Linked DNA regions of Astyanax mexicanus. The protein of the gene in region 2 interacts with the protein of the main gene of each other region in a pairwise test. Links are inferred from orthologs where the notes say so. Each region holds a gene or a part of one and is shown on either strand. Other genes may lie near its edges.

Region 1 (8,025 bases), on a different chromosome or scaffold from region 2:
TTTTACAATTTAGAAAGAAAAAAAAAAGTATAATTTGGGTATCAGTACCGAATTCAAAGTATTGTATCAATACCTGTATCAATAATTTTAAAATTACACCCAGCACTACCTAAGCTAGGCAATTAATTTAAATCTAATCTAAATGTAAGTACCATTTTCCTTACTAGAAGCATTGTAAAAAAATACATCTTGATAATGCATTTTGCGCAAACAAACAGTCCTTCAAACTTTCTTTGTGCCAAAGAAAAAACTAAAAACTTGTGACATTACAATTAATGTTTAAATAATCAATTAAAATAACTGTTCATTAAAACACTTTTCTAATAATATAATTGTTCATAAATCCTAATTAAGGTAAAATGTTCACTTTGCTCACTTTGCTTTGTAAAGCTTTGCTAACAAAAAGTTTTTAGCAGTGTTACATTGCCAAAATTTCTTGAGGCTTTTTACTTTAATATACCTCTTAATTATTGATTTACACAGCATCAATCTCCGGTCAGTTAAAGACGCTTAAATTGTGTTGTGCTTGTATGGAAACTATATGTTATGTTTTATTTATTTATTTTCTCAAACTGAAGTGAAAAATTTCTTTCCACTGGCACTTCCACATACTTCCAGATTCCCTGACATCACTCCAAAAACCGCTTTCTGAAACCTTTAGGAATGCTTGGCTTTTCTGTATAGCGAATATTAAAACATTAACATCTTACTTCTTTCAGCTTGTCCACATCCTGTCTGACTTTCTGATAGAGCTCATTGGCAGCTTTGAGTTTATTGGCCGATTCCTCCAGAACTCTCGGGTCAACGGCTTCAGTCTCACTTTGAGAAGAGAAGCAGGTGCTGGGTTCCAGAGCAGTCTTCAGTTGCGTCTCGAGGCTCAGGTTTTTGCTCTTCAGCTCCTCGTTCTCTTTCAGTAGGGTTTCAATTTCATCCTGAAAGTTAGACCAGTGATCCAGTGAATCAGACTGGGTGCCTTACATAAGAAACACTTAGCTGGTGTTAAACAGCTAAAAGAAGAACTAAACTCTATGCAGATCAGTATTTAATAACCATTTCAATCAGCAGATCAGAAACTTTCTATAGCTCTTTTGAAGGACAAATAAACACAGAAATAATCAACTATTAAAAAATATATAGCCGATTATGAGACATTTACTTATAAGTATGTAAAATTATACAAATTAAACTGAAGTACCAGGTGCATAAAAAAGCAAAGCATAACTTTCAAACCTCGTATTCTTGCAGTATTAATTCCCCACGGGTTTTTCTGAGATGCTTCTTAACTGAGTGGCTTTCGTTTGATTCGCTGTCATCATTTGTTGCTCCTATTATCACATAAAAAAATAGATAAATAAGACAGTTTCAATGCAGTGGCAATGTAGAGTAAATAAATGTTCAATAAACATAATGTGTATACTCTGGTGTAACTGATGCACAGTAGCATTAGCATGCATGTAGAACTATTTGAATGATGGGATTGCTTAATAATACTGCCATAATACTGAAGATCCACTTATGTAAAGGAGAACAATGCTTACAAAACAAAAACATACAGGGTTCTGAACATATTTAATTTACCATAAAACTTGATTTAATTTAAATTTTTTGCCACTAAAAAGAGCAGGAACTACAAACAGGACTAGACATGGCAGGACTTCAGTGGACTTCCACAGCTTGTTACCTATGATTTCTTTGCATGGGTTTTCAGGGGTGATGGCCACTCTGCAGGTGGGACACTGGCTACATTTCTGAAGCCAGACGTCAATGCAGGTCGAGCAGAACACATGATTGTTGGAGCAAATCTTGGGTTTGCGAACCTGTTGAGAGAAGACAACTGTGTGAGTCCAATAATAGTAGTTATTTAAATTACTTATTCTATTATAAACATACATACATACATACATACATACATACATACATACATACATACATACATACATACGAGAAAAGACACTGCAGCTGGGCAATATAGCCAAAATCACAATTCTTAGATAGCATTTCTATATAATCTGTGATCAGACAACTCTGTGGCTGTTTTAGTATATTAAACCACATTTTATTTCTTATAACTGGTATCAACAGGAACAAAAATAATATAATATTGTTAATAATATTGACTTTATTTTAGAGTACAGGTTAAGTAAACTAGCTAGTGAGCTAAGGTTTTCATATGTTGCTTTTTCGTACACTAAACCATATTAAGTCTTATATATTCCTTTTATATTGGAAATATGTATTTATTTCCAATTAGACCAAAGTTCAACCTTACAGCAGTAGAGAGCAGCAGTGAAGGATACTTACAAGAGCAATAAATAAGTAAGCTAGTTAGCTAAGTCAGGTTTTCCTATGCTACTGTTTTGTACAAATACTAAGTCTTTCCTTTTATATTGGTAATATTTAATAATAATTAGGTTTATCCTGTAATATAGAGCAGCAGTAGAGGAGTGTACTTACTTAAAGTAATAAATAAGTTGGGTTTACTGACTGTTTTAACTATTAAGTTCATTAAGCTAAAGTACTTTAGTAGGTTAAACTGTTTTCAGGTCAGGTATTAGCCTCTCCGCACCACACTAAAATATACACAGAGCATCAGAGCAAGAGGTTTAAAGCACTAGCCAAACTAACCAACGAATAAAAGCAGAAACTAAATATAAAACATGAAAACACTTTAACAGTTTAATAGTATGTTAGTTATCTGTTATCTCTTTTTTTTCCGGAGTTCAGTATATGAGTCTGGGTAAGTGAGGTGAGGTGAAAGCAGGCAGAACAAAAGCAGCTCCTGCTTCATTAATTCAGTAATCTCACTGCATTAGTTACCTTCCCCAGGCAGATCTGGCAGGAGATGGGCAGAGTTAAAGACAGGGTAACGCTCTGGCAGGTCTGCGCCATGTTTCAGTCTCTAAAACAAACACATGCAGATTAAAACCCTGTAAACTCCGCGCGTTAGGAGAAAACACACACTCAAAACAGCGCCGGTAACCGCGCTACGGCGAGCCGGAGGAACCAAACGCGATTCAAAATCTCCACAGGAAGAGAGAAGCCTGAGCTGAGCAGCGCTGGGAAATAAACACACACCCTGCTACGGACTTTTGGGTAAAAAATTAAATGAAAATAATATTAAATATATATATATATATATATATATATATATATATATATATATATATATATATATATATATATATATATATACATATATATAAATATTTTAAACAATTGTGCATAAATATTTATATTTGTATATACACAACAGGCATATAAAATGTTTAGAGAAAACATTGGAAGCTAGATAGCTAACTAACAAATTAGCTAGTGGTTAGCTTAGCAAACAAATATTAAGAACATTTTCAGACGTTCCTTCTATTTTTGTTATGTCAAATATATGTAACTTATATAAAGAGAATTAAGACCTTAAAATTTAGGTTGCTAAGTTGCTAAACTCATAAAAATAAATAATATTAAAAAATAACTAAAATAACCTGTAACCTGAAAGTCATTTCTCACAGAGTCACTCTCACAGTTAAAAGCAAAGCTAACCCAGCTACTGTAGCCAATGCTAGCTAGCTACTTCAGCTAACTCCCAAACACCAGCTAATCACTCAAGGCTAAAAGCTAACCCGGCTACAGCTTGTTAACAGCACTATCCACTAAAAGGACACAGGGAAAGGACAACAAGACTTTCTGGTAAGACTTGGGAATAATTAAACTGTATTTTTGTTACAGTGTGAAGACCAAATGCAGGATTTTTGAGTTATCAAAATAGTGTGAACCAGTCAATATAAGCTAAGCATACACAGTACCAGTACCATTATTTAAAAAAAATCAGCATTTTAAATTAAAATCATTCAAACTATGAGAAAGAAATTTAAAAAACAAAAAAATAATAAACCAACCAGATTTTGTTTTATATTTTAAATACTTTAAAGTAGCACCTCTTGCTTAGATATCTTGGCGTTATGAGGTAGTCACCAAGCTTTCATGGCTTTCAGTTAACAGCTGTGCCCCATCAAGGGTTAATTAGGGTTAGGTTTTCTGGATGTGCTTAGAATATTTTTGTGTTATTGTATTTATTTTTAGTTTTGAGTATTGTTACATTTAACATTTCCATAGCATTAGTGTTCATCTAACTAGAAACGTTATGTGAGAAATAATTTAATAACATTGTGCTGCAGATATTATTATGTTACATTCTCATAACATTCCTGGAACTTTTAAGGTTTAAGGTTCAACAACCTTGCTAAACATTCTTATAGAGCGCTTTTCCACCAAAAGAACTCTGGTTCTTGAACCAGTTCCGTTTGGGCTTGTAAAAACCATTAGGTCTGTTCGGTTCTGAAATTTATTTTGTTGGTGGAAACGTGGCAAACAGTTCAAAATTAGGTTTGGGAACCAGAGTGGTGTCAGTTTTACATCGATGGAAATGCGTTAATATGTTCTTTCTTAGCTGGGAATATCCTGCCTTTTTTAGTCCACCACTGGTGATGTTACAGTCTGTGATTCCACTGTGTTCTTTATCCACCATAATGAATGTGTTCCAACATGGAAAGTTTAGCTGAGTACAAAATTAGTGTTATTAAGCACAGGTGTTTCCAACCCTTATATCAGGAGCCCTGGAGGGCACACCTGATTCAACTCACCTGTTAATTGGAAAGTTTAGCTGGTGTGTAGAGTGAGGAAACCAAACTGAGCTGGACCCCAGCCCTCAGTTCTCTACCCATGTTCAGTACGGTCCCTGTGTCCTAAAAAGCTGTCTGGCTTGTATCCTTATTATACTATGTTCTGCAGCCCACACTAGTGTTTCTTCCTCTCACTCATAGAAAGTCTTGGTACTTCTCAGCGTTTCTTCCTGATTCTCACCGGCAGTTTCTTTCCCTCTCTCCCTCGGCGATGCTCATTAGAAAAGCCACTTTGGGCTTTTGTGTCCTACAAATAAAACTGAGCTGAATTGAATTGAAAAACTCATTGCCAAATGGCAGAAACATGCTGTGGCTTCATTGTCTTGTAGTTTAATGGCAGTGCATCTTAGAGCCCTTGTGACCTAACCTGATTAGAATTGAACCACAGGGAAACTGTGTTGTACATTGATTGCAGCATAACGTTGATGCTGGAACTGCATTACTGCCATTTATTGCAAGTGTTTCATTTCAACACACCATCCACTACTGTCTAACCATAAAACATTGTGTGGTGTATGTCCTACAGACAAGTCTATGTCCAAGCAGATCACTATAGGGCAACCGCAGGACGCCAGTGGCTTTTCTAATGATATTGGCTCGGCTTGCTTTGTTAATAACATGAACTGGACTTGCATTGAAAGGTTGGAGTTTTAATGGTAGTACTGTATACCAAAGTATTAAAACATTTTAACGGATCTCCAAATGAAGATAGTATTTCATACATATTCCATATTCATAAATGTCTCTGTGTCTTTATTAAAAGGCCAATATAGCTTTTTTTCATTTATCTGCTTTTAAGATGACCATAGGATGGGTGCGCCCTCTGCATGACAAGAGTGTCCAAATGTATGCATCTGTCTAATTTGCTTGTTCATCTGCTATATGATACATTTAACCAAAATTGCTGACCCAAACAACCAGTGATTTATAAAGGAAAATCATGAAAATGATAAGGGGTGCCCACACTTTTTCGTACCACTGTAACACCCACAGTATGAGTCTTCTGTGCAAGTGAAAACATGTCAACAGTAACTTCAGACACAAGAAAACTGCACAGAATGTGTCCTCTCTGCTTCAGAAACCCAAACTACACCAGTATATAGTTGTCGTTTTAAAAATGCATGCAGGACATTCAGCAAGATATGAAATAATGTAAACTTGAGCATGAAGAAATTCCTGACCTGTGTTGAGTCAGTATTTCTGCTCTTGAGTGAGTCAGCATTGTGTATAATGCATGAGGATACTCTACTAAATTCCCTGAAATAAGTCATATGCCATTACATATACCTAGGGGTGTAACAGTACACAAAGGTCACAATTTAGTTCACACCATGGTTTGGACTTTACGGTTCGGTACAGGTACAGTACAATGGAAAAAAAAAACATAAAAAAGACAAGACTAACAGAGGATTCTTTGGATTTATTAATATAATTTTAAGAGACAGTTTTGCAAGTTACAGTTTGTTCCATCTTGTGCCATATGCTGCTGCTTATGACACTACTACCGTAGTTACTGTAAACATGGTGGTATCAGAATGACAAACTCAGTTTTCATCTGCTCAATCACACAAAATTTGAATTGAAGAGAGCTGGCAACATAAAAAAGACTTAATAATTTCCATCATGCTCTTTGCAATTACACATTCTCACCAAAACGTATGAACTGTTGTTTAACGCAGTGTAACAATGTAAATATTAGCCTCGACCAATCCACCATGATTTCATTAGTGTAAATAAGACATTAAAGCCGGAATATCAATGAAAAAAGCTAACCAAAAAGCTAACAACAAAATCGACTAATAAATTATGATTGTACATTGCATAGACTTACTTTTTTTATTTTATTCTTATTTGGTCAGACATCATGTCCCACACTTTTCAAAAGTGGTGGTCTTGTTACGGATTAGCAGAACTATGGAAGTCATTTAAGAAAAGCCTCAAACATGCAGTATCTCTGTGTTGTGCTGTTAGTGACATCACAGTAATGGGAATGCACACATGCACACTCATGACAGACACCTAAAAGCATGATGTTCTCGTAATGCCTCAGAACTTTAAAGCAGCAGTGATTTCATACTTTACAGGAACTATGATTCATCCCAGTGAATCATCACCTCAGATGATGCCATGTCTCAGTTGTCTCAGTGTTTAAAAGGAATATTCCGCTGTGTCCTGCCTGACCTCGCCACCTTTAATGGTGATGTTTTGCACTATACTTTACTTTGGACATCCCTCTAGAAATGAGACCATACAAACAACCCATGCACCTTTTTGGAATTAACAAATTTGCATATATTACACTTATTACAAATTTAAAAAATAATGAACGTGGCAATTTTATATCTTGCATAAAATTGTTTACTATCTGAATATTGATATATACTTTACATTGCCCAGACCTAGTTGGAGTATAAAAGTAAGTGTTTCTTTAATAATTTCTGTAATCTTGTGTTTACTTTCGTTACAAAAACCTTATGAACATATTTTTATGTTAAAGTTCTTTACATAAATTCCTTGCACATGTTGGACAAAAAAACTAATTAAAAAAAATTCTAAAAACCTCTAGTGTCTAAATAAAGAATAGTCAACGTTCAAAATATTCCACAATCTTTCCTAAGATCATATTTCACCCCCTACATGCCTCAGTCCAGTGGTTTGTAATCGTTCGCTCATTAATTGGTGACAGTCAATTAATCACAGCTGGTCGAGACTCCAGCGTCTATTGATTTCGTCCTGGGCCTTATTTTTCATCCCCTAAATGACACAGATCGGCAGATTTAGCTTGGCCGGGGTAATGGAGGGTGACCCGAGCGTCCGGCCTGAGCCCCCATTCCACGCGTGCTCTCACACACACACGGCGAAATGGCATCTTTACCATTTAGGCTGGAAAGGTTTAGACTGCCTTAGAGCAGAGCATCGGGGAGAAGCCCGGTTCCACCGCTAGCCTGACCTTTTCTGTTTAAAGCTTAATCACTGACAAATGCTTACATTAATTAGCCTTCTATCCCTCCTTCCTTCCCTCTGTCCTGCCCCCCACCTGTTTCCCTGCACACACACACACACACAGATACACACAGATAGGGACACGCTCCGCTACCTCTAGTCTGGTATGTTTTTCAGTGACTCTGGCTGAACAGGATTAGCTTAGCATGCCGTGGCTGAACTCTTGTGGTGATTTAGACATTTTGCCCCCACCCCCTGCAGGAGGAATGTATTGATTAGTGATGCCCCTGATGGAGATAGCTGTGGAGATGGAGGAGAGTGCCATGGCGACTCGCTGTAGCAGTGGGACGCTCACCTAAGCTCCATCACCTCTCTGCAGGGTAGAGTTCAGGAGAACAGCAGCTGC
Region 2 (6,523 bases):
TTGTTACATAATCATTATTGTCACTGTTAACGCTATCAAAATTTTATGTAGTTTTATTGTGATAACTGAAAATTAAAAAAAAAAAATTCCCAACAAATGTAATAATAATTGACAAAATACCCAATTTAAAAAACAAATCCTGTATATATATATATGTGTGTGTGTGTGTATTTTTTTCAGTCATTCAGATAATTGTTTAGAATGGTTTGTGTACAATGCTCTTAATATTCTAAAAAAATAAAAATAAAAACAGATTTTCTTTCCCATTTCTTAATGAATATAGTTCATTAGTTATATGACTCTAAAATCATTATATATACACATGGTGCACATTATAGGTTCTTTGGCACACCATATACTATATAAAAGTTTAAAAGCACGCAATGCAATTTCCCTATAGTTTATTCCCAAGCAAGGTATATATGCACAAGTCTATTGGTTTTAAATATTGAACAATTTTGTTGTAACACTCAATACATGCCACCAAATAAGATATACCAATGTTTTGTTATGTAAATATTTTATTCAATATTTTTATACATATAAAATATTTTGAATGTAAACATAGCTGTTTAGGATGTACAGACTCTCTGGGCCACTGTAGCAGTCATGCAACCTGCCCACAGTCAATGCTAGGCTTATTTATTAGAGGCATACCCAGCGACTATGGTACCACTGCTCCCCGCACTCAGCACAGGTCATGAAGGTCATGGCGTCCTCGTCGTTATTTCCACTCCTCACCCAGGAGGGCAGAAAGAGGGTCCCGCGGGAGACCTGGGTCACCCTGCAGTTCATGCTCTGGCAGCGGCGGCAGCGCACTTTCGTGGTGGTCGTCCCCTCAGGCTGCTGAGGTAGCTGGTGTTCACTAATAGCTGCTGCAGTGTATCCTTCCCTCAGGCTCCTGAGCTCCTCGCTTGCCATCTCCTCCACAGACATGCGGGCAAAAACCTCTGGGGTTAGGGTTCCTGTCAGAAGACCCTGGCGAAGATGAGGGTTCTTTGGATTCTTCAGGTTGGCCACCCTGCTTCTTACACAGGACTTGTACTTTGCCTGGTTTTGCCTGTGGAGAGCATGAATGTGCTGTTCAATGGCTTGAGCTAGGGTGGAAATCTGTCTTGTGTCTTCTGGGTTTGTGGGTTTCTGGTCTGGGATCAAGGCTTGGATAAGAAGCTCCACACACTTGGTTCTCACAGGTTTGGAGTCTGTGGAACTGGTAGACTGAACCCTAGAATCTTCTCCGTTGTGGTTCTCTGGAACTGAAGCTGTGGACTTGCTATCATCTGCCTTCAGTAAAAGTGCAGTGATTTTAGAAGATGGTAGATCTGAATCAGAACTTGACATCTGTTGGACATCACTGTGCTGAACTTTTGGGCCCAAAACTGTTTCAGTCTCAGCACTTGGAACAGATTGAGCCATTTCAGGTGGTCCATGTTCTTTTATTTGACTTGTGTCTTTGGTACTGCTGTGTCCTTGGGATGAGTTGTACATCCCTTTCCATTTTGAGAGCAGTTCCTTTGCTGTTTTGCGAACACTAGTTTGCACTGGACATGATTTTAATAGCTGATAAACGGTCTTGGCGATGTCAGTGGTCTGCAGCTGCTCTAATGTTACAGGACTGTTGCTCAAGTCTGCAAGCAGAGATGAAACTTCTTCATAATTGCAACCTTTTTGTAGTTTTTCTATTTGAATAGCGTAGAATATGAGCTCTTTGGTGTCCATAGCTACTGCTAGGACTCAAAACTGGCATTGTAGTTGAGCTAGTTACCCATTTCATTCAGTTTATACTTAGTTAGCCAGTTAGATGAGCTTGCTAACTAAAGCTCTCAGCCTGAGGAGATAATGTTTTGTTATTATTCTGAACAGAAGAGGCTGAGGTACGTTAAAAAAGCGGACTGTCTGTTCCCATACAATCATTACAGCAGTAAAAATTATATGTCTGATTCAATATCTGTAATCAATACCGTATTCTTTATTCAGCCTCTTCATTTCAGTTCGTATTTCTGTAGCTCCGAGCCGCCATGTTTGTTGTGATTTCTCAGAGACAGTGTTTCACTCAGGCGCTGGATGGCGCAGTTGGTCAAAAAATATACAGCTCCGTAAAAAACACTTTAGTTTCTGAATCAGTTTCTCTGATTTTGCTATTTATAGGTATATGTTTGACTAAAATTAACATTGTTGTTTTATTCTACGGACAACATTTCTTCCTAATTCCAAGTAAAATATTGTCATTTAGAGCATGTATTTGCAGAAAATCAGAAATGACTAAAATAACAAAAAAGATACAGAGCTTTCAGACCTCAAATCATGCAAAGAAAACAAGTTTATATTCATAAAGTTTTAAGAGTTCAAAAATCAATATTTGGTGGAATAACCCTGGTTTTCAATCACAGTTTTCATGCATTCATTGCAGCCTACTTTTGGATAACTTTATACCACTCCTGGTAGAAATTTCAAGCAGTTCAGCTTGGTTTGATGGCTTGTGATCATCCATCTTCTTCTTGATAATATTCCAAATTTTAAGTGGTCCTTTATTTTCAGCAACCTACTACAAAAACGATGTGTTAAAAACATTTAAAGGTTATATTTATTATTAAAGTATTAGTATTAGTTTGTTTAGGACAGTGTGTCACTGGGAATCAGTCCTACACAAAACACAACACTCAGTATTCTCTTGGGAATTGTAAAGCTCAACCCTTACAAAAAAATATAAATCGGTTTATTTAAGTGTACTATTAGTATACTTCTTCATTCATATTATAATTCATTACCACATATATATCCCAAGTATTTCTTGTTTATTTTAATATGTGTAGTCTACTAGTAAATCTAAAACTAAGACCAGTTAAAAATACCTACATCGTAGTATATCTCAGAGTGCAAAGATAGAGAGAGTATTTAACATACCAACAAACTGGTCTTAAAACATTTGTCATTTATTGTGTAAAATTGACCATTTTTATTCAGATAAGCTGACTTATACTCAACTATGTGTATTCAAGTTGGTTTTTATTGTAATAGTTTGCTTTATAATACCACTGGGGATTTATAATACAGAGGTATGTGTTTATTGGGCTCAACAATGCCCTCATTCTGACCCACACACTATCTGCTCCATTGTACTGGCTTAGCCTATGTGTTTGTCTTGTGATATCCCTTAGTTCAAATGCCATAACACTATGTCCATTCTCCTCCCTGAAGAATGAATGAACTGAGCGCTCATGACCAGCCTGACCCAAGGGACACGTCGTGTTGGTCTGGTGTGATTTCCTGCCACTTTAAAGAGAGTGAACTCCCACAGGGGGGTTGTTAATATCCTGTAGTTCATATATGACTAAAGAAGAAAGGCTCAAAACTTTACATACAAACAGTATAAAGGACATTCTTCTCTAATTTTCTCCACAATTGTAGTAACCTGAGAGGTTCAAACACATACAAAAACACTGAGAAAAACTCTGCAACTGGTTTACCTCTCGGCTCCCACCCCCTACTGTTGTAATCCATTAAGTACGTTCGGGTGTGGCTGCGAAAACCACAGGCCTTGAGAACTGAGTGGAACGTCTGGTTTCTTATCAGGCCTGGAGTCCTTCAACTAGAAGCCATTAGGCACAATTGCTTTTAAAAGCATGGGGCCTGCAGGCGTGAGATGACTAACATGTCTGCACCTCTGCCGTCCAGTCTGTACTTACTTGGGTGGGCAGCTGCGATGTCCAAAAATGAATGAATTGATCCGTTGAAAGGGCCCTATTCTTGCATTTCAGGCCTGCAAAGATAAAACTTTTACTACTTTGTAATACTCTCATATCTTTACTCAACACCTTAAAGACATGTGCAGCCTTTGCATTGTGTGCAGCGTATGGAACTGTTGAAAATGCATGGATGTCCCTGGAAAAAAAATTGTCATATAGGCTGCATCTGTTACTCTCTTAAATCTCTATGTACTTTTAATTAATGCTACCATCACAAATTTGTGCTGAAACAACCCCATGCATGACTTGTTGCTGATAACAGTCTGGATGGTCATTTTTGTCTTTTGCCCAGAGCACATGCACATGGACGGTCCATCCCAGATGCCTATGAGCCCAGAGAAGTTGACATCACTTCTGGACATGGATAACATCACGCTTTTGTTTTGCACAGTAAAGTCTTAGGTGTTATTTGTGAATGTACTTTAGTATTGCTGTGCTTGACAAAAGCTTTGAAAATTAATCCTTTGCTCATGTGGTTCTATCCACTATTGTTCAATGACAGTTCTTGATGCAGTGCCCAAGGGACTGAGGGATTGTAGATCATGGGTGTAGTGTTTAGGCTTTATGTTTAGTTGTGCAAGTTTTTGTGTGTTTTGAATAGTTAAATATATGTATTTAGCTTTAATGTGAATTGGTCCACCTCTACATTGTAACTCCATATTGAGCAGCTGTTGGGTAAATCAAACTCAAACATTTTATTTTTTCCAATTTCTCTTTCTGTAGATTGTAGATGGCCTCCTTTTTCTGTTTCTAAAAGTATGTAGGGACAGGATATAAAAAGCTGACTTGTCTTGACTTTGAGAGTCAATGAATTGGACATTTGGTTCATTGATATGAATCGGATGTCCCATCACTTTTATGCGAGTGGAATTTTACTGAGTCCACAGTTTCCTCTGTCTGCAGCTAGAGTGCAGTAGAAGCGCACAGTTTAAAGACTCCATGCTTAAATGAGCAAGAAGCATTTCCTGCTGTGCTCAGTACTTAGGGTTCATAGCTATGTTGTTAAAAACTGATCTGTGACCAACTTCCACTGTCTAAATCTGTAACAAGGCTATTGTAAACTAACTTGAGGAACTGGTCTCTGATCAGGAAAACAAGGCAACTTCTGCTAAATACCGTTTTGCAGAGTGGGAGCTACGGTCTGAAGGGTATCAATTGTTCTGACTGATTCCCTGGTGCTTCCTTCACACTACTTCCCTCATCACAAGCTAAGCTAATTGACACTGTTTCAGTGCCAGATGACAAAGAACCAGTTTGTTCTTCTCTGAGTGTGTGATTTTATTTAGTACCCTTGTTTATTTCCTCTATTCGCTTCACTTTAATTTGGTGAAGTATGACACTGAAATGTCAGCGTATTATTAGATAGGCCCGGTCTATTAAAGGCCCGGTCCATTAAAAGGAGTAGATGTTTAGACAATTCTCAAAGATATAGTTACAAAAATAGTTACACCCAGAAGGAAGTGTTGGTTTGAAGACAGACATGGACAACTCTTTGTTTGTATTTTTTAAGCTACATCTACATACGTAATGTGTAGTGTATGTTTAACGCCTGTGCATGTAGAGGTTCCTAATAATGTCCTGTGATTATGCATCCCATGCAGCTTGAATATTTTCACACAGTTCCTGCAGATTTTGTGGCAGGACTCAGGAGTGGTGTATTGATTGCATGTCTAGTAGCATCCTACACATTTTCAGTCAGGGAGAGGTCTGGTGATGTGGCTGGCAATGGCATAGTATCCTCAGTAGTGTCGTCATGGTAAACTCCTGAAATTTCAACAATATATGGACAAGCATTGTCCTGTTGTAATAGTGTACCTGAATGTGCTTTCTGAAAAAGGTTGGCCTTTTGGTTGCTGGACCTCATTTATGTAACTTTGAGCTGTCAAAATGTCTGTAATGAAGACCAAAGATGATCTGTCATCATGCAAAATTGTACCCCACATCATGACACCAGGCCTCCTGGTTGGTGATGTGTGACAACAAACTGCCATTCTGAGTCACGGCATGACAGTCTGGCACGACTGTGCGGTCGTTTGATTCTTTTAGGTCGACAGAATCTTTAGAAGCAAACTTAAGATGTTCAGCATCTACTCACTATGGACTTTGCTTGTGTGAAGAAGGGCCGGGGGCTGTGTAAATGAGACAGACAAAAACTGGTCTTGATGACCATCAAATGACTGCTTTGTAATTTATTCCTAATGCTTTCTTGCAGTACTCTATAAATGACCTGTTTCCCACATATTCTTCTCTGCTGTCCACACACATCCTAAAGTGGCTGATTTCTCTCAACACTCCCACAAGTCCTCAATGCTGTTTGAATCTGCCAATTGTGTCTTCCTGAATGACATCACATGACCTTCTTCACTCCTCAACCCCCACACTCCATTGCTTGACGGGTGCTGTGGCATCTTGCATTGTTTTGTTGGTGTATCAAGTTACTTTTAGTGTTTATCCACTAAAACAGAAGAGACAAACATCCTGCAAACATCTAGAATAACTGGTAAAGAAAAGAGTGTATGACTTGCATACATCTGAGCCAGTCATCTTGGAATTTGCATTAGTTTGACAAATAGCTGTCAGTAAGGCTGAGGTTTTGGCTGGTGCTGTGTTGCAAGTGTAAACTTGATGCAAAGGGAGAACAAAAAAGCACGAGAGAGAGATAGAGAGAGAGAGAAAGAGAAACAGGGAGAAACAGGGCCAAACTTGTTAGACTCTGCAAAACATGACAACAGCGTAAAATAGGGTGAGGTGCATTGAGATAGGCTGGCTTTTTCCTT
Region 3 (7,045 bases), on a different chromosome or scaffold from region 2:
TCAATATCTGAAATGCAAAGCTGGGGCAAAGCATGCCTTCCGCATTAACTTCTCAATGTTATCCCTCGACTTGCTCAGCACTCTAGCCAGGCTAATAAAAGCTAATAAAAATACAGACAGTGGCTTTCCATCCCATTGCTATAAGAGCCTCCCTAGGGAGCAGGTCAGCCGGAGTGTGTGCATGTGTGTTTGTGTGTGAGAAAAAGAGACAGGACGCTGTGGTCTGGGACACTTGCTTGGTACCTCACAAGCTGGGAGGAATGCTGAAGACTGACAAAACAGATGGGACCCCATGGGTTACAGCCTTAGAGGCAGCAGCCTCCCCACCCCCTCCATCCCCTCGACACAAAAGCCTCAGCACTGTGTGCGAACTGCTCCAAAACAGGGGCGTCCTGGCTTCTGAGGAGGCCGACTGATTAACAATGTGGCCACTGGCTTTGCACATGAGAGGGAGACAGAGAGAGACAGACAGAGAGGGATGAACTCAAATAGCACAGTTGAGTGTTCTGGACTTGTGTAATACCCTGCATGCTGTGATGCATGAGAAGTCTCCACTAGGAAGCGCACATGGGGTCTTGACTGTTTGTGTATTTCAGGTGCAAACAGGAGGAAACGAGCGAGACAGAGGCAAGTTGCGACTGCAGTGCTGACCTCATTACTGCTGGCTGAGGTTACCTGGCCAGGTGGCCCCACAAGTTCACCTAACAAGGCTGTTCCTTAAACAATACAAGTGTTCTACTGTATTAGAGACTGTAAGACACCACCAAAACACCTTTTTCAATACAACACTGAAATCATGCCCTGATCTTTCACCTTTAGAAGAATGTTTTGAAGTGCTTTAAATGAAGAAACACACAGATAACACCACCAAGCTGGATTGGCACAGACTCACTTTTCCTTTATGATATTTCATCCATATATTTAAGATGAAATTTGACACATAACAATCTATACAGATTCTAGCTGATTTAGTTTTACATCATTGCAAAGAAGCAAATGATTTACTTCCTTAAGAGTAACACAAAGAACCATTGCAAGAATCTAAAGACCCAAAGGGGAAATCATACCCCTCTTGGTAGATAAATTGCTCAGCAACTGTTGGCACAGGTTAGTAGGAGTGTCAAGAGAACAAGCTTAGAACAAAAGCAAAAGTGAAATTTCACTACAAAGACACTTTGGGAGCCCCGGACACAGGGGAATTTTCTAAATTACACTGAATTATATGTGATAGATAGGTAGGTCTTTCCTTTATTTTAAGTTCAGCTAAGAGATAAACTAGACTAAATATTAATACTACTTTCAAACAGAATACGTTTTTTTTTTTCACAGCGTGACTTCAGTTAATCTTGCATTGCTAGCTAACAATCACACACACTCTTCTGGCGATGCTAACTAGTTAAGTAGTTAAGCTTGCATTGTTTATTTTGGTTTTCAATGTATAAAACAGATTAATGCAGTCAATTAAAGCTGCTTAATCGTACCTACATTATATACCTATATTTTATAGATATAGTTAGCTTATGTAATTTATATTGCTATACTTTTTTATCATAGCTTTTATTAACGCTTCATTTTTTATTTATTATTAACAATAGGTTATCTTAAATACCTTAAACTTAAATGTACTCATTTGCAGGTTTTAAATATGCTTATACAGTTAAACAATCGCTATATTTAAATTAACGTGAACAACGTTAATTAACGTTAGTTAGCTTAGCTGTTCACGGTCTCAATTAGCTAAAAAGCTAAATTAGCTAAACCTAGTTGACGCTAAATATGTCGAAGTAACTGTCGTTAGTTATTCATAAGATATAATGTTAAACAAGAAAATTGGAACCTAATAACGTTAGTTTATGTTATGTTTAGCCGTGTCTTGCTTCCTTTTTAACGGTCATAAACGTAGACATAAACTAGTAAGCTAGCGAATTAGCTTAGCTAAGTTACCTAAACCCGAAGAAGCCCTCTTTTAATGTAGTTATTATTAGCTAAAGCACTGCGTTTAACAGCAGGCAGAAACAGAGTCTGCCACTAGGTGCCGGTGGAAATTAAAGGGCAGCTCTATCGCTGTGAATCAGTCAGTTTGCTGCCCCTTCTGTTTAATATCAGTCTCAGCAGGCTGTAGTTTACTTACCTTAAGGAGTCGCTCTCGTTTCACTAACTTACCACAGGCATCTATATACCTATCCTCCTCAAACACACATTTAATTATCGCCGCTGTCTTTTACACACACAGCCAGAGACTGCTTTAATTTATTTGAGAGCTGACATTCAGACAGACTGGTATATTACCTAGCCAGCGTTAACATAACATTCATAATATTCAGAACAGAAGAACTTAGTTAAGCTATTATAATGTAGTTGTGCTGAAGTCTCTCGCCACGGCAGGGGACAGTACAGTGCTCCAGCTTGTTCACACACTTAAATCAACTACAACCAACACAACGTAAAAAGTACAAAACTACAAATGAGTCAACATTTCCAGTTTAACTATAACTATATAACTAAACCACAGAACCGCCTTCTCGACATCAACATTATCATCATCTGTGACATTAAAACAGCGGTAAAACAAACTAAACACCAACTAATAACGAAAGCCAGCTAACGCTACACTGTTTTTATTATTACTATATCTAGCTAAGTTACAATTTTATTTTATTTATAAGGAATTTCTTTACGTATTCCACTGACCCAAACCATCTTATGATCCGCTATGATTTATCTCGCTATTAGACATTAGTAACACGCCTTTTTAAAAAGCAAGAATAAAGCAAAAAAAAAAGCCTTATTAAAAAAAATATTATAACAACCACTCACCAAGACTTAGCGAATCCGATCACCATTAGTGATATCTCCAGTTAAAGGCGTGTAGACGAAACAGTGTTAATAATCCACAAAGCGAATCCGCGCGCGAAGCCTCCGTTCTACTGGATCTGATTTGTTTTATTGTGTGTGGATGTTAAAGGTCCGTCCGTGCTGAAGCGTGTCCCTTGTCTGAGCCAGACTGGCTCTGTGTTCTGTGGAAAACTCCCTCCCGGCGTCTGACGCAGGCGCCCGGACGTCATTTTCCCCCTACCCGCTTTCCGCCAGGCCACGCCTCTTCTGCGCTACGAATGAGCCGGTGTTCCGTCGAGATGTGCCACCTTGTCAAATCGTGCTACCATAGTGTATTTAAAGGTAAAAAATACACAAAATTAATACATGCTCGCTGTAAAGGCATCGATATAATATTTGAATAGCCGAAAGAGCTGTATCAGAGTAAAACCAAGGCAAAATATAGTTGATTAGAATCCGTTTTATAGTTTTTATTTTTTTTTATTTTTGTTCACCGTTGTAAAAAAAAATATTACTCAAGCAAAAAAATGTCAGTGAGTTTAAATTGTATAATGTACCAAATAAAAACAAAATGATCAGGAAAAAAAACGTGAAAATAGTAAAAAAGAGAGAGAATTAATACATGCGCGGTGCTGTAAAGCAGCACAAATCGACAGGTAGCGCAACTCGACAGAACACCGGCGGGTCTGCTCTGCTGATCCACAGCGCTGAAGACCCGCCTCTCCTGCACAGCGATTGGCTCAGGCTTTACATATATCCTAACACTCGTGGTAAAAACAACTAAAACAACTTTTTTAATTTAAATACATAATTTAATGTTTTACAAACAAAGCAGCGTTATTAAGCGTTTTTCTGAATTACTGCTCAAACCTAGCATAAAAGAGGCGGGGCTTTGTTTTTCCAGAACATAGCCAGAACAGCGGGACTGCTTGTGATGGCTGAACTCTTGAGCCAATCACGGCGCGGAGTGGGCGGGGCGATTGGCAGTACGGGTAGAGGTATAATAACGTGAGTTATGGAGAGGCTCAGCCCACGCCTTTTCCTCCTTTCCGGGCATCCTGACATCAAGTATGTGGTTATATCAACTGAATGTAATGACGACTGTGAAATAAGAATGTAGTAAATATTTTTTTTCCCCAACTTAAATTCCAGATGGTTTTAAAACAAGGAGGTTGAACTTGGGCTGTTCTGTTTTGAGCTAAGTATTGATATAAAACACTTAGACAAAGCAAGTTTTTTAGAAATTAATGTTTAAGAGCATGAAAACTAAAAGAAAACAGAAAGAGAGGGAGTTCATGTAAAAGGCGTAGTCAGCCTACAGTATGTAGTAGGCTGCTGTTGTTTCCCAGCTTCTCTGACTCAGCCCCGTCCGCCTCATGAGTCACAAAACATCATGTACAAGGTTTTACATCACTTAGCACCAGTCATGTTGTTGTGTTTATGAAATTCACAAACTGTCTGTCAAGGCTTACAATGAACTCTGTCAAAATACAGAGTCTACAATTCAGAAAATGCGGAATCTGATGTCAGATTTGATCGTAGAACTAATCTCACACACTCACACAAAGTGATGTTATCTGTGTGTTTCTTCCTGTGGGGTCGTGAAGTGTTTGAGTGGTTTGAGTAGGATAGCCTACTTAAGTGCTCATCTCAAGTGAAGAGCTTTATAAAAGTCTAATGTCTCTTAAAAGTAGAAACACAGATCAGCCTTAACATTAGAACATTTAAGTATGCCCCTCAGACATGTCAAGACATGTGCTTTTTCAGTAATTTGTGTTGCAGAAGCTGTTCTGTGGGGTCAGACCAGATGGGCTAATCTGTAGCACATTATGTGCATCACTGAGCCCTAGGTGCCAATGACCCTGTCAGTGGTTCACTGGTTCACTGGTTGCCCTTGCCTGGAACCCTTTTGGTAGATTTGAACCACTGCATATTGGGACGACCCCACATAACCTGCCTGAAGTTTTGCAGATGCTCTGTCCCAGTGGTCTAACCATCACCATACATCATGTGTCTCTGATCTTATGCCCACTACCCATTTCTCTGTTTTTTACACTGTAACTTGAAGAACTGTTTATTTGCCTTTAAGAATCATGTAGATCCTACCAACTGACAGGTGTTAACCTGATAACCAGATAATAGATGGTTCTTTCTTCACTATATTTTACTATTTTTTTTAAGTCAAAAGAACTCAATATTGGTGGTATTGTGCCAATTTATATAACATTTATTATGGTACTGTATAAGATTGTTTAATGGGCAAGTATCTGGAAGCCAAATTAAAACCAAACCAAACTGTCTGGGTGTGAACTGAAACAAAGCAACAGTGCCACATCTGATGTATAAAAAGTCATTATCATTCCTCTTAAGCCTTGGAGAGAATGACACCGTCCCGTTTCCTCAGACTCAGAAACCGCCCCTGCTGCATTGCTGCTGCACTCTCCCTAACAGCATTATTTACAAACCCACACCTGTACAGCACTGGATTCCAGCGGACTGCATCACTGTGTGCGAATGGAAAACCTCCTGGCTTTTCTTTCTGCAGAACTGAAAGTGAACAGCTTGTCCTTCCAGTGTAATCTCAGGTGTAGGGCTTAGCTGCAGTTGGGGAAGGGCCTCTGACAAACTGTGAGAAGGGTTTACAGTAGACTAATTGAGGGCTGCTAATTAAGGACTGTTGTTTCAGACGGGTTTGGTCCATTTAGAACAACATGTCCTGCTGACTCTTAAAAAGCCATAGTATATTGTCTTCAAGTCCTTTAAGGCCATAGTGTATCATCATGGTTAACCTTGTATCTTTTTCTTTTCATTTTAAATTTTTGACATAGTTTGCATCTGTTTCAGTTAATGACACATGACAAATAGAATAGCTCTAAAATGACTTAGAATATATATTTTTTACATTAAAAGAATCTATCATTTTATTTGGTATAAAATTAATTAGTAAATAGTCACTAAATATAAATGATTAAGTACAATAATGCTTGTATTTAAAATCTAAAAGTATAACAGTACTCTTCTTACTGAATTTGAATGTTTTGGTTGAAAAAAAATGTCCAATCAGGATTTGTGATTAGCTCTTGTATTGGTTGGGACTTCACAAGCAGAACCAAATGCCTAATGCATCAGATTAATTACCAAGACAACAAACAAAACTGAACTGAACTGAATCAACCTATCTGGTTCTGATTTCTTTTTATTTCATGCTAAAATAGCATATATTACTGCCAAAAAAATTGAAGTGCACTGCTGTCAGCTTCGCATTAACATGCTATTAGAGCCTCGTAGTAGGGCTCTAATAGAAATTAGCATTTCTGTACAGGTTGGTCTTTTCTTATTTTGACAGAGGTTTGCTGCCTTAATTGAAGAACTGGGTATAATAGCTGTAGTTTGCCAGGGCATAAAACATTGTCCCATGCATCAGACAGGCAGTGTGTTCATAATCATTGGTGTAATAATCTAGGAAAAAGCTTTTAGAGACATAAGTCTCTATAAATGCTTGGTCAGCCCACCACTACTCCTGTGAACTATTCTGACTTGTGGTTTCTTTACAACAGAGCATTTTACACCAAACTGCTTAGGGTGACATTCTCCTTCAAGTGTTTTTTGATATGTGCTTTTGTATTTATGCTACAGTCCCTGCCACAAAGATATGATGGTCTGTTATTATTCTCTTTTTATTCTCACATGTATTTTTTAGCATAGTATACTTGTATACTATAAGTGCATATATTTTTTTTAAATGTCATTTACAAAAAGGATTCTGCTCTTCTCAGAACCATGTTTGTTGATTATAAGGGTTAGAAGGTAACGATCCAGCCTCATTTGACTGAATAGACTGGACACAGGAGCATGGCAGGCCAGCTGTATCTTTTTTCTGGGGTTAAATTGATGGTATCGGGCTGAGCAGCCTTTCTCTGTTATTAAATGACACCATTAAGTGATAAGTGATGGTGTTGATGTTTACGCCGGCTGCTCTGTTCTCACCTCAGCCGTGGTGTGTTTATTTGTTTCTGTGGTGGTGATGGGGTTGTAAAAACTGGCCCTGCAGACAGTTCCCCTGCGTCCCCGGTGTCTGAGCACGCAGACAGACTGTCCGTGATTAACTCGCTGTCTCCTCTGTGCTTTTAGACATTATTGATGCCCGTCTGGACGGACTGTCACGACAGCATGTCACATGGCCCTGAGTGTTACACAGTCTCCTGCTTAG
Region 4 (7,444 bases), on a different chromosome or scaffold from region 2:
CAACAAATCTCTCCACTCTGCAGGTCATGGTGAACTCTTTGCGGTGTGCAGGCCCAGACTCTTGTGTGACGGTGTATTCGGGTAAACGCCAGCCTTTCTGCACCACCAGCTCCTATAAAAAGTAGTGAAGATTCATAAATACCTCAATTTAGACCAACATTTATTGTATTAAACTTATAGAATTAAGAGACGCTGCTATTCTGAAGTTCTTTACATAAAAATCCATTAATCCCTCACCTGCAGAGCACCGACTGGATTACACTCAGCTTGCTGGCTGGAACTGGAAGACTTTATCTCTGACTGGGAGCTGTGGAACCAGTCAATGCAGTCAATAAATAGCACAAGACACAATGCCCAAGTATGTATTTTAACCAAGATTGTGCTCATTTAAAAAAAAAAAGGTTTTATTCGGACTACCAGCACAAAACTGATTTCTGGCATACCTAGATTGTATCCAGATTGATATTTAACAGCCTGGGTAGCAAGACAACACATAACGCTACATTTGGAGGTGGTTTGAAATGTGATTACAATTCGATGTGACAAACAGTGACCTGATTAAATCCAGAGTTACTAATGCCAAACTCCTCATCAAAGAGTGCAATCTGATTACTTGCAAATAACAGTGTGGACAGTCATATTTTAACTGATCTGATGTGCCTATTACAATCTCCACATAACCTTAGAGATAATATCGAGGATTAGGCTGAATATGAAGATCAAAAAACATATCAGGTAGCTCAGACAACATTACACATTAAGGTTAACTGGCAACTAGTATAGTTCTTACCCATCTCCGTCCAAGGACATGTCTATTCCAACAAACCCATCTCCCTCCATGCCGTTCTCCCCTAACCCTCCCAGCATCCCTCCTTTCAGCATCTTCAGCGCGGCTTCTGCAGCCTTGTGTTTAGCAGCCTTCTTGCTGGGGCCCTGGCCCGTGCAGCTGATTTCTCCCACAGACACGCGGAAGGTGAAATTGGGCTGGTGGGCCTGGCCCTCGGCCTTCAGCAGGTCGTACACTGGTGTCTTGCCTATCCGCGTTCCATATTCCTGCAGCAGACTGATGGGTGTCTTTCCGGGGTTCACAGCCAGCATTTGCTCAATACTAAGAACAGAAAAAGAGTGTCAGGGGTGATCTTGAGCTTGCTAATGGTGTAAAAATAGCTAATAATGTATTTGGGCAACACTATGCCCCAATCACTAGTAGATACACAAATATGTTTTACCATGATAGGACAAACAAAAGTCATCTACAAATGCTGACCAAAGGCAACAAGAATGTAAGAAAAATACAGAAAAAAACAGCCAGATATACTTTAACATACTAGTGTCCCTCATTCAATTAGAATATAATTGAAAAGTTACTTTAAATTACTAATTCAGTTCAAAATTAGAAATTCATATTATATAGATGTATTACATGGAGTGATCTATATTAAGCGATTATTTCTTTTATTGTTGATGCACTAGCAGATGACATGGCTCTCCAAACCATCAGTAAATTTTACATTTCATTTGGAAATCAAGGGACCAGAGTCTGGAGGAGGAGTGGAGACACATAAATGCCAAGATGCTTCAGCTGGTGTTGATCCACAGTGTTATACCAAGTTCAAAGTCAGTGCAGTGTTTTCTCCGAAAATCTTACAGCACGTCATGCTTCCCTCTGCTGACGGCTTTTATGGAGATGCAGATTTCATTTTTCAGCAGGACTTGGCACACTGCCCACACTGCTAAAAGTACCAATTGGTCTTCGTCTGTCATTTTTTGGGTTATAATTGGCTGTAAGCCTCATTGAATTGAGAGTAGATATGCATTGTACTATTATATTAAAAATAGCATAAATTAATACATAAAAGATAAGGTTTGGTATGGAATGGCGTAAGAACAAAAAGATGGTTTGTTGCCTGAGGGCAACATCATGCCATACACTAGAGGGTTAAGAGTTTGTTTCACTCAGGCAAATAATAAAAGTGAGTTCAGGTTGTTTAAGACACACAAAAAGATTAATTTTATAAACTGAATTAGAAAAAATGGAAGAAAAAAAAAACACATGAAAACATAAAAACGTGAGTAAGCGCATGCCCAGTGGCGGTGTTCTGTCGAATTATGCTACTCATCGGTACGTGTTTCGTAAAGACACTGCGCATGCGCTGACCCACACTTATTGATTATTTAATGATTTCTTTTAACAATAAAACTATATTTTGTGCATTAAACAACTTGGACTCACTGTCATTGCACAAAATAGTAAATGGAAATTAATAAAAAAATATAAGTACAACAATTATTATCCAAAAAATATACAAAAGCAGTTTGTAAAGACCTCTCATTGCCATAACTTTACCTTGACACAGTGATTCATGCTATCCAAACTATCCATACATCTAATGTTACTGGGACTTCTGCTGGTAACATGCTCTAATATGCTACTTACTGTTGTATTTTTTTTTACAGTTAAATATAACTACACTATGGTAGTACGGTTTGACAAGGTAGAACACTGGTTAAGAAGCACAAATCTATGGGTAGCACAACTCTGACACAACACCCAGCGTGTCTAGCCACTATTCTACCCTGAAAACAGACAATTATCAAATGCTATCACCACATGGTATGAGCTCTACTATGCACAACACTAATCTTAAACCCTGGCTAATAATGTATCTGAATATAATGCAGTAAATCAGGAGCAGAGGCCTGGGTTATAATGCTAGCTCAGCGTGTGCTAACCAGCCCAGCACTGAAGCAGAAGCAGCTCACCTGGTACACCCAGAGTTTCTCTTACTAGCCGGGCTTTTCTCGTCATTCATTCCCCAACAACAGATAGAAATCCCACGCGTTTAAGAGTGCAGAAACCCCCCAAAGTAAACGAGCCCCCCTTGATATCATTAGCTAGCAGTTTTCATGGCAGGGAAACCTGTGACACGAAAGGGCAACCCCTACTCCAGCGGTCCCACATGATCACACAGCCACAGCAGCGCTCATATCGCAGTGAAGCAGCGCGCCACAGGCCAGGGTGTCCTGCCGAGGTACGCTACCCATAAATATGTGCTTCGTAACGGCACTGCGCATGCGCCGACCCACATTTTTAAAAATGTTGTGATGTTATTTTATGATAATGCCACGATATTTTATCTGTTATAAAACTGTAAATTGCAATTTAATAAAAAATAATGGCAAAAATATTTTTTGTAAAACTGTAAAATAATAATGAAAAAATACGATTTCTAATCATCTATATGACCATAACTTTACCTGATTCAGAAATTTAGCCTGTCCGAATATTCTACATAGACTTCTGACAGGATTATTTTCTCATTTTCTGTTTTTTTGTATTTTTGCCTTTAAATATACACCAGAAACACTAGGGTAGCACGGTTTGACAAGGTAGCACAATTTGTCATAACACCGGGAGTAAAACTGATGCAGCGTTACATACATATATATATGCAATGGACGCTGCTTTTACTGCTCTATCGACACGTTTATAAGCGAGCTAATTTGACTAGATAAGTAGATAACGTCGAGTTTTTGTGTCGTATTTAAAAACCTTTACACATTTAATATCACATTACTGAATATTACGCTATCGGCCAAAGCGCCTATGTTTGAAAACAGTTTGCAACTTCCAGTAATTTTAGTATGGAATGCACCATGCGAGCGATGCCCACCAATAGCGCCACTTTTCAAAATAAAAGTTACAAGTTTAAAACAATAAAATATTAAATATATATATAAATATATATATATATATATATATATATATATATATATATATATATATATATATATATATATATATATATATATTAGTTTTAAACCCTAATACAAAAACAAAAATATATATATCGTTTGACAGGGTTAATTAAAAATACAGACTAGTTAAAGTGAAATATGTACACTGTTCCTCAATTAAAAAGTGAAGGATTTGGCCACAATATAAAAGCAGCAGATAAAAATGAAAATTATATTTTGATGAAAATATTTATTTTTTGTTAGTTGAGTAGTCCCAAACAGGGCGTATTACTCTATACCAACTCAACATCTTCACAACTTTACAACTGATGCTTTTGAAACACATTAAGAGGGCAAGAAAATCAAGTAATTATCTCTTAAGTTCAGCACAGCTGTTAACTGAAAGCCATTTCAGGTGACTGAGAAAATGAAAAGATGTGCAAAATTGTCATCTAAACAAGACCCACTAAACAAAGAGACGTTGAAACGACGTCTTTTCTAGGTCATTTTTGCACGTCCAATTTTGGTCTCCTGAAGGTGCAGACTGTGACGCCAGACGACGTCTTTTTTCTGACGTCTTCTGCACGTCCAGTATTGACGTCCCCCAGACCTCCGGATAAGGGCTAATTCTAGTTTAAATTAAGTCGTTGTGGACGTCTTTTCTACGTGAAATTTACATGTATATGTTTTTATAGACCAACTATTTTGAGGCTCCCTGCATAACTGTAGTGCCATTTCAGACGGTGGCAACTGTTCCATTGTTCCAGCTTCAGCAGATAACTGGAAACGCATACAAAGCTAAGCCAAACAATTACTGGAACAGGTTCACAACCTTCTGGAACTAGTTATGCACGTTAGTTATACACAATATGCTTTACAAATAAATTGCATTTCAACCCTCTCACTTTTTCCAAAACATGTCAACCTGCAAAGAACCAGTAAAAGCAAGGGATAAATTAATTACCCCCATCTTACCACTGTTGATTTTAAATTGACCCTTTCTGTTTGGGGAAACATTAATATAATAATAAACATAATGAGTAAATCTCATTTGGGGTTAATGCCTTTATTTTACATCAACATAACATACACCTTAGATTCACACCATAACAATTTCACTAAACATTTACCTTCCCTTAAAACTATTACAGCTTTACATTACACCTTCCCTAAACAATATTATACCTTCCCTCAACACTATTGCACCTTTACATTTCACCAGGTGTCTCAAAGTACCGGCCCACGCGGTTTCATACGGCCCCTCACGGGTTAACAAAATAAACATACATCTGGCCCGCAATTCAATTTAATTATTTATGCTTTATTATGTTCGTTTTCATATTTTATCTTAACTTGTATTTTGGTGTGTGTGTGTGTGTGTGTGTGTGTTTTTTTTTTTTGCTTACGCTGCGTTGCCTGCTTTAGTAGTCTTCAGTAGCCTTCAACAGTCTAACCTTGCAGACCTTGTGTCCACTAAACTCCGTAGTTATAAACATCCTGAGGTTAGCAGCGCGCTAACTGACCTGTTTATAATGTAATCTGAGCAGTGCCTCCGTGACGCTGCTCTAAACTGCTGCTGTTAGCTGCTTGGGCTGAAAGATGAACTGTAGAGAGCTGTATTATCCGGTTAGTGGGGTTATTTTATTTCATACACAGAAGAACTTAAAAAATTTCAAAACGCTCCAGACTGCCTCAGCTGAGTCCTGTAGCCCGTGGCTGGGCTGTAGCTCTGACTAAGCAAAGACTGCGGGCTTGTGGTGCTGCAGCTGCAGCTCCGACTAGTGGTTGGATGAGGAACTGCTAAATCTGAGGAAATGCTAAATCTGTCACAGCTCACAATTTTTGATTTTATATTTATTAAGCCTTATTTCAGTATCAAACGTTTTGATCAAAGTTAATATAACTTGTACTTGATGTAATTTCTATTCACTTGAATAGTTTGGTTCTTGATTGATGGAGTTTTTGGATTTCATAACATGACAAATTAAAAGGATTTATGTTAATAGAGCAACAAGCAAACATTTTTCCATGCAACTGTAATATTTGATTGAATAAATAGTATATTGAGAGTTATTTAACATTAAGGAGTAATTACATTCATTTTATATTACATCTGGTTACATTTTCTCATATTTATAAGTTACATCTGGCCCTCAGAGGACAGCCAATATGTCAATGTGGCCCTCGGCAAAAATGAGTTTGAGACCCCTGCATTACACCTTCCCTTAACAATATTATACCTTCCCTTAACACTATTACACCTTCCCTCAACACTATTACACCTTTCCACTACACCTTCCCTTAACACCATTACAACTTTACATTACACCTTCCCTTAACATCATTATACTTTCATTAAGATTCTAGGTCCTGAGAGACAGCGGTGTGTCCTCCACGTCTTTGTGGTGCATGTTTGAGATGCTCCGAAGTATGAAGTCCTCGGTGGCTGTCCCGTCACATTTCATGACTCCATCTGCACAAGTAGAAAAAGACAAATTAGAAATCTCAGAAAATGTTGAAGATGGCCATTTATTTTTGTCCCACAACAAACTATTTTAAATTGCCTTATTTATGTAATATTCACATAAACTTACTTCTTCACACTATGGCTTAGCTAACGCTAAGCTAACGGCGGGAATACACATTTAACACCTGACGAGAATTATCGTGCCGTTTTAATTCTCACACATCATTCATATTAAGCTATTTTAATTAATTTTTTTCCCACAACAAACTATTTTAAATTGCCTTATTTATGTAATATTAACAAACTTACTTCTTCATGCTATGGCTTAGCTAACGCTAAGCTAAAGGCGGGAATACACATTTAACACCTGACCAGAATTATCGTGCTGTTTTAATTCTCACACATCATATTAAGCTATTTTAATAAATGTTTTCCCACAACAAACTATTTTAAATTGCCTTATTTATGTAATATTCACATAAACTTACTTCTTCACACTATGGCTTAGCTAACGCTAAGCTAACGGCGGGAATACACATTTAACACCTGACGAGAATTATTGTGCCGTTTTAATTCTCACACATCATATTAAGCTATTTTAATAATTTTTTTCCCACAACAAACTATTTTAAATAGCCTTATTTATGTAATATTCACATAAACTTACTTCTTCATGCTATGGCTTAGCTAACGCTAAGCTAACGCTAAGCTAAAGGCGGGAATACACATTTAACACCTGACCAGAATTATCGTGCCGTTTTAATTCTCACACATCATATTAAGCTATTTTAATAAATGTTTTCCCACAACAAACTATTTTAAATTGCCTTATTTATGTAATATTAACATAAACTTACTTCTTCAGGCTATTCAAAATGCACTTGATATTGCCCCCAGTTGCCTAGGTTAATTGTGGGTGCCACAAACTTATATAACTTAACGCTAGCTTAGCGAATTTAGCCAAAGACGGTTCTTTGATTTAGCTTAGATTGGCTTATCAGCCTAGCTCTGGTTAGTGCATTGACTTAATGACCGGACAATGCTTCTACGTTAAAGCTTCGGTTACAGTAAATATTATTGGCAATACGGTCGTTCTCAAAAGTAATTCCAATTCCATTTTAACTATGGCCACTGTTTAGCTATCGTTAGCTAGCTAGCTAGTTAGCTAACTGCCTGGGAAGAGAGGCAACGCCAGCAGGTTCAGATGATTTAAGACCACAGAGCTAAAACAACTAACAC

What was found.
Region 1: the proteins of transcription elongation factor A N-terminal and central domain-containing protein (region 2) and obi1 interact in binary tests that used the Homo sapiens proteins (3 or more experiments, as listed by UniProt). The two-hybrid records come from large-scale screens. The link is inferred for Astyanax mexicanus from reciprocal best matches to the Homo sapiens genes TCEANC and OBI1.
Region 3: the proteins of transcription elongation factor A N-terminal and central domain-containing protein (region 2) and csrnp1b interact in binary tests that used the Homo sapiens proteins (3 or more experiments, as listed by UniProt). The two-hybrid records come from large-scale screens. The link is inferred for Astyanax mexicanus from reciprocal best matches to the Homo sapiens genes TCEANC and CSRNP1.
Region 4: the proteins of transcription elongation factor A N-terminal and central domain-containing protein (region 2) and tarbp2 interact in binary tests that used the Homo sapiens proteins (3 or more experiments, as listed by UniProt). The two-hybrid records come from large-scale screens. The link is inferred for Astyanax mexicanus from reciprocal best matches to the Homo sapiens genes TCEANC and TARBP2.

What each region holds. Positions count from the first base shown.
Region 1 is NC_064412.1:53,333,123-53,341,147, forward strand, and holds the start of obi1 (ORC ubiquitin ligase 1), read right to left. Parts: upstream 3,016-8,025; 5' UTR 2,890-3,015; coding exon 2,818-2,889; intron 1,818-2,817; coding exon 1,682-1,817; intron 1,326-1,681; coding exon 1,231-1,325; intron 933-1,230; coding exon 711-932; intron 1-710. UniProt on the Homo sapiens protein: E3 ubiquitin ligase essential for DNA replication origin activation during S phase.
Region 2 is NC_064428.1:21,510,142-21,516,664, reverse strand, and holds transcription elongation factor A N-terminal and central domain-containing protein, read right to left. Parts: upstream 2,034-6,523; 5' UTR 1,987-2,033; coding exon of another isoform or gene 1,962-1,986; 5' UTR 1,720-1,961; coding exon 646-1,719; 3' UTR 504-645; downstream 1-503.
Region 3 is NC_064408.1:94,696,112-94,703,156, forward strand, and holds the start of csrnp1b (cysteine/serine-rich nuclear protein 1b), read right to left. Parts: upstream 3,019-7,045; 5' UTR 2,818-3,018; intron 1-2,817. UniProt on the Homo sapiens protein: Binds to the consensus sequence 5'-AGAGTG-3' and has transcriptional activator activity. May have a tumor-suppressor function. May play a role in apoptosis.
Region 4 is NC_064412.1:10,608,628-10,616,071, forward strand, and holds the start of tarbp2 (RISC-loading complex subunit tarbp2), read right to left. Parts: upstream 3,021-7,444; 5' UTR 2,814-3,020; coding exon 2,764-2,813; intron 1,109-2,763; coding exon 791-1,108; intron 308-790; coding exon 238-307; intron 113-237; coding exon 1-112. UniProt on the Homo sapiens protein: Required for formation of the RNA induced silencing complex (RISC). Component of the RISC loading complex (RLC), also known as the micro-RNA (miRNA) loading complex (miRLC), which is composed of DICER1, AGO2 and TARBP2.